2 linked regions of the Saccharomyces cerevisiae S288C genome follow. The main gene of each other region encodes a partner of the protein of the gene in region 2 in a complex. Each region holds a gene or a part of one and is shown on either strand. Other genes may lie near its edges.

Region 1 (2,676 bases), on a different chromosome or scaffold from region 2:
GGTCAAAAAGGGCACAAACTTCTTCACCTTCAGCGATCTGGGTCCCACTGAAGAAACACGCTTGAAATGGGAATACAAGAAGAACTATGAGCTGGCCACCAGGACGGAATTGACCGAAGCACAAAAGTTGCAGATCATTAGCGTCGCAGAAGGCATTTTTGATTGGAACTTCAACATCGTTGCAGAAATTGGAGAGTTGAATCGTCGCGAGTTAATGGGCAAGTTCAGCTTCAAGTGTATTACGTACTTGTACGAAGAATGGATGTTCAACAAGGATTCTGCTACTAGAAGAGCACTCCACACGGTCATGCTGCTGGTGCTTTCTATTATCGCGATCTGGGTTCTTTACTTCTTGGTAAAGAGTTTTCTTAGCATAGTATAACGTATAAAAAAAAAAGTCTAAATACAAACATAATATATACATGAAATAATATCAAAATATGAAGAATAGGGAAGGAAAAACAGCAGAGAAAAACATGTGAGAGGTTTTTACAGCCCTATTATCTACCCTGAGATAGCTTTCTTCTTTCTGCCTTCTCCCTCTTTCTTCTTTTCCGCAGTTTGTGTTTCTTCATCTTTTTTTTCCTCTTTCTCATCACTGAATCGAGTTGCATCACTATATTTGAACCGTTTAATGGCTCACTGACTGTGCCAGTGATCCTTGTTGCCGTAGCCGTCATCATCATCATTGTACTCAGCATGCCCTCTTGCATGGGAGGCATTGTAGTGTTAATTGCTGTTTGAAAGGTTCTGTTAAAGTAGGACCCGCAACTTGGTTTCTTAACCACCGTCCTAGTAATGCCCAGCCACCCAGGTCGCAATGCCCTTCCTAGCATGTTTATCTCGTTCTGGTGTCGTGTGTGCTCGTCTTGGCTGGAACTCAACCGCCTTTCGCTCTTGATATTATATTTGGCATTCACTTAAGTGTGCAGTATGGGGAAAGGGCTCTTTTTATCATGCGCTACGAAAAAGCGGCTCGAAGAAAATAATCCAAAGGAGTCTGACAAGAGACAATAGTAGATATTTGGTCAACTACTAAGGGCGGGCCTTTGGTTGTAGTTTTTTTACACTTTATAAGCGCAGAACACTGTAGATATTGCGAAGGTGGACTTAAAGTAGTTTGGCAAACTTGTACTTCCAGAACTATGACCGTGCTATATGCTCCTTCGGGTGCTACTCAGCTATATTTCCATCTGCTAAGGAAGTCGCCACACAACAGGCTAGTTGTCTCTCACCAAACACGTCGTCACCTCATGGGGTTCGTTAGGAACGCCCTTGGATTGGATCCTCCTCCCTCTCCAGAAGATCCTACTCCGGAGAACAGATTCCATCCATGGGATCAGTCTCCCTCAGTGGACTTGCGTGAAAGGGCCGCCAAGATTAGAACGCTAGCACACTGCCCTGTTACCGGCAAAGATATTAACTACACTTGTCCTCTGTCAGGAATTCCGACTCATCACTCACGAGAGGCTTGGGAGATGGATAAAGCATATCACGATTCTAAAAAATATGAAATCCTGAAAAAAGTTAATATTTATGAGCATGACTTAAGAAGCGGTAGACCCTTCCCGGAGTTTGATTTTCCCCAACAGCAAGGCTACGACAAGGCCGTTAACCTAACAAACTGGGATTTGTTTTTCTACACAAGATCATTCTATTCCATGGATACAGAGTTCCAATTAGCCGCAGTCACAAAGATGCTAAGCTATCCAATTACGATTGGGTCTTTGCTGCACAAATTTTCCCCGTATTCATTGAACCCAAAGGGGCCTATCACCTTAGAAGGTCTAAAATCTCTGGCTGCTCTCAGGTATACTTTATATCCGTTGGAGAATAGATCTTTACCAACCACAACTAAGAACCGTGCTATGAGAATTTTCATCCTAGGTGCACGTGCTGAAGCTCAATTGCCGGGCCACGTTTGGAAACAGCTCCAGTTTCTTTTCCCAGAGCAGAGTTTCGAAATACATTTCATTGGACCCGAATGCCTGTATAAAAGGGATAAACAGGAGTACGTCAAGTCTACTACGCCGGTAGTACAAAGAGTAGACGAGACTCTGAAATTCATTTATCGTACAAACTTTTTCGAAGTATTCCATGAGGCTCAAGATTTTTTCCCATACGATCCATACATGGATGTCTTTTTTACTTTCCATCCAGGCTACGCATCTCCAGAATCTCACGGTTCATGGATGGGTGAAACTATGAAGGCATTACTGGAAACAAAATGTGCTATCTTCACAACGGGTTTCAATAAGAAAGACCTAACGGACGACATAAATCTTGTCAAATCCAAATACGGTAAGGAAATGGATGTCTTAATGGAGCCCGTCAGAAACGTATTTGGAAGTACGAAGTGGGAATTAAATGACATGAATCCTCAAGAAGTTTATCAATTTAACATGTATATTGCCGGGTTCAGAGGTAAAAGGTACCATACAATCAAGAGACAATGATTATCGGGAGGCCATGCCCAACTTTCATCTTATAAATATATGCGTTTTCTACCGTTATTATAATTTTTTTCTTATGTATGATATCTCAATATCTGTAAATACAAAAATACTAACCCCACCCCCTTCGTAATGGTTGACCTAATAGTCCATTAACTAATCCATTCACCTATACAGTAGTATACTGACTACAGTTGCCATGACATATCCTTTCCTTTTCGGA
Region 2 (3,358 bases):
GTAGTCATTTTGAAACGGTACTGATTTTTGCCCCCAAATGGGACGAGTTTCCCATATTTCTGTAAGAGAGAAAGTCGTCATAAAATCATGGTGCCCATCAACGAGACATTTTAAACAGGTGATTATAGGTAAATCAGCATCCTTTGGTAGGTCCACTGTGTTCGGAAGAAAAAGTTCAACATGCATTTGATAGAGCCATCTTATATAGCAGCGTTTATGAATTTGTAAGTTGCAACCGCACGTGTGCTGTAGCCATGTAGAGTCATATGTGGATTCTTCCAAACATATCCAGCATATGCATCTTTTTTTTATGAGAGATAAAAAAAAATGAGGTGGGGTCATATAAAACTTGGACTATTTCCTTGGAATTTTCTTGTTTGTAAAATCAGAGCAGAGCTCTTTTATTTACTTTTGTTTTTGACGATGGGGACGAGCGATGTACTCACATCTTCGATATCACTTGCCTGAAAATATATAAATGCGTTAAACGATAGAAAATCAAAAACATCGTTCTTTTCACTAGAATATTTTAAAGTCAAAACATAACACTTTACTATTTACGTAACGAAGTCTTGTAGTTGTATATATTTACAGAGTGTAGTGCTTTAGTTGAGAAAATATGACACTCGGCTTTCCTCTTTCTTTTATTTACTGGCTTGGTTGTTGCATATCCATCATGACGTGCTTTCTTAACAAATTTTTTTTGATGTTTTTTTTCAAGGTCAAAGGATCCTCAACACCATGATCCTTCAAAAATTGATCACATTTTAGATCATTCGACAACAATTCGGATAATCGCGTTTGAATACGATCAATGAGACTTCTTTGTTTCTCCAAATTAACCTCCAATCCAGAGATGTCTAACTGTAAAAGTTGCCTCACTGTTTCTTGTGAAAAATCTTGAATGCCGTACCTTTGTTTAATCTCCAATAACTCTTTCGGCGTTGACCCGCTAGATAAAGCATCTTGGATGGTCCTAATATCACGTAAAAGGGTTGTTTTTTCATTTAGTTTATTCTCCCTCACTGATCTTTTATCCAAAAATTCTTTTGCCTTTTGGGCTTCTTCTTTTGCAACGCTTAACTGAGCTTCTGATTCGTATAATGCAAATTGTTGACCCTTGTTTCTAATAATTTCTGCAATGGCAAAAAACTTCCTCTTTGAAAGCGGCCTCGTCGCTTCTATCCTTACTAAATCACCCTCCCTTGATATTTCACCTTCATCATGCACTAAATAATCTCTTCTATGAAATAACTCCTTGTTGATTTTCTTATTAAAGACTTTTGTTTCTACACGTACTTTAACCGTCTTTTGCATCTTCCCTTGGGAGACGACCAAGCCTAAAAAATTTTGGCGAGCCATTACAGTTTAACTGATCTTGATTTGACTTTTGAAATCTCTAACCCGAATTCAACTCCCTGAGTTTACTTCTGTTTGGCCTTATTTGTGGATTTCCTCTAACAGTTTGATGCTCGCATTGGTTTGGCACAATCCCAAATTGCTTCAGAATTCTAATCTTATGAAATAACAATCATGTTACCCGGTTGAATCGTTACCCGACATCTCTGACTCTTCTTGAGGTATAGACTCCTCCTTTTCGGAGTCATGACTCTCAGAGGAGTCATCGAAGTCAGCATTGAGCTGTGAAGGACCTTGATAAGCTAGTCGAAAGATCTCCAACGAATATAAATGGATGTATATATAGCAGGCTCGAGTGGCACAATTTTCTTCTCTTCAAGTTCCAGTGAATTAGTCTTTCTCGTGTGTACCAATCTTACTGTATTGATTGCTGCGCGATCTAACCATCAACTAACCACAGTTTATTGGAAAAACGTTTCCTAATACCAGGAAGATAACATGCTTAGGACAAGAGTGACTGCTCTCCTTTGTAGGGCTACTGTCAGGTCAAGCACCAATTATGTTTCATTAGCGAGGACTAGATCATTCCATTCTCAATCTATTTTGCTCAAAACAGCCGCTACAGACATAACGTCTACACAGTACAGCAGGATTTTCAATCCTGACTTGAAAAACATTGATAGACCGCTAGATACTTTTGCTAGACGTCATTTAGGTCCTTCTCCTAGCGACGTTAAGAAAATGTTAAAAACAATGGGTTATAGCGATTTAAACGCATTTATAGAAGAGCTCGTTCCTCCCAATATTTTGAAGAGAAGACCCTTGAAACTAGAAGCTCCTAGTAAGGGATTCTGTGAACAAGAAATGCTTCAACATCTAGAAAAGATTGCCAATAAGAACCACTATAAAGTTAAAAATTTCATAGGTAAGGGTTACTACGGTACGATTTTACCACCGGTTATACAAAGAAACCTGCTAGAAAGTCCAGAATGGTATACTTCTTATACGCCCTATCAACCCGAAATTTCTCAAGGTAGGCTAGAAGCGCTATTAAACTTTCAAACGGTTGTTTCAGATTTGACTGGTTTGCCTGTGGCGAACGCCTCATTGTTGGATGAGGGTACAGCGGCTGGAGAAGCTATGCTCTTGTCATTCAATATTTCCAGAAAAAAGAAACTAAAATACGTAATAGATAAAAAATTACACCAGCAAACAAAGAGTGTCCTTCACACCAGAGCCAAGCCGTTCAATATTGAAATTATTGAAGTTGACTGTTCGGATATCAAGAAAGCTGTGGATGTTTTAAAGAACCCCGACGTATCTGGTTGTTTGGTTCAATATCCAGCGACAGATGGTTCAATCTTACCGCCTGACTCGATGAAACAGTTATCTGATGCGTTACACTCTCACAAGTCTTTGCTCTCTGTGGCCTCAGATTTAATGGCTTTGACACTTCTAAAACCACCTGCTCATTACGGTGCTGATATCGTCCTGGGTTCCTCTCAACGATTTGGTGTCCCAATGGGTTATGGTGGTCCTCATGCTGCTTTTTTCGCTGTTATTGATAAATTAAACAGAAAAATTCCAGGTAGAATTGTCGGTATCTCTAAAGACCGCTTAGGCAAGACGGCCTTGCGGTTGGCCCTCCAAACAAGAGAACAACATATCAAGCGTGATAAGGCAACTTCAAATATATGTACCGCTCAAGCTTTACTGGCTAATGTTGCTTCGAGCTACTGTGTTTATCACGGTCCTAAGGGCCTACAGAATATTTCCAGGAGGATATTTAGCTTAACATCAATATTGGCAAATGCCATCGAAAATGACAGTTGCCCTCACGAACTAATTAATAAAACATGGTTTGATACTTTGACTATAAAGTTAGGTAATGGCATATCCTCCGAGCAGTTATTGGACAAGGCCTTGAAAGAATTTAATATCAATTTGTTTGCCGTGGACACCACCACTATTTCCTTGGCTCTTGATGAAACAACTACAA

What was found.
Region 1: MRPS17 (region 2) and QRI5 share a complex: the UniProt entries of both Saccharomyces cerevisiae proteins name them as parts of the mitochondrial small ribosomal subunit.

The regions. Positions count from the first base shown.
Region 1 is NC_001144.5:550,430-553,105, reverse strand, and holds QRI5 (mitochondrial 37S ribosomal protein mS38 QRI5), read right to left. Parts: upstream 837-2,676; coding exon 501-836; downstream 1-500. Other genes in the region: HMX1 (Hmx1p), read left to right, coding at 1-382; MSS51 (Mss51p), read left to right, coding at 1,146-2,456. UniProt on the Saccharomyces cerevisiae protein: Component of the mitochondrial ribosome (mitoribosome), a dedicated translation machinery responsible for the synthesis of mitochondrial genome-encoded proteins, including at least some of the essential transmembrane subunits of the mitochondrial respiratory chain.
Region 2 is NC_001145.3:635,643-639,000, forward strand, and holds MRPS17 (mitochondrial 37S ribosomal protein uS17m MRPS17), read right to left. Parts: upstream 1,363-3,358; coding exon 649-1,362; downstream 1-648. Other genes in the region: YMR187C (uncharacterized protein), read right to left, coding at 1-342; GCV2 (glycine decarboxylase subunit P), read left to right, coding at 1,858-3,358. UniProt on the Saccharomyces cerevisiae protein: Component of the mitochondrial ribosome (mitoribosome), a dedicated translation machinery responsible for the synthesis of mitochondrial genome-encoded proteins, including at least some of the essential transmembrane subunits of the mitochondrial respiratory chain.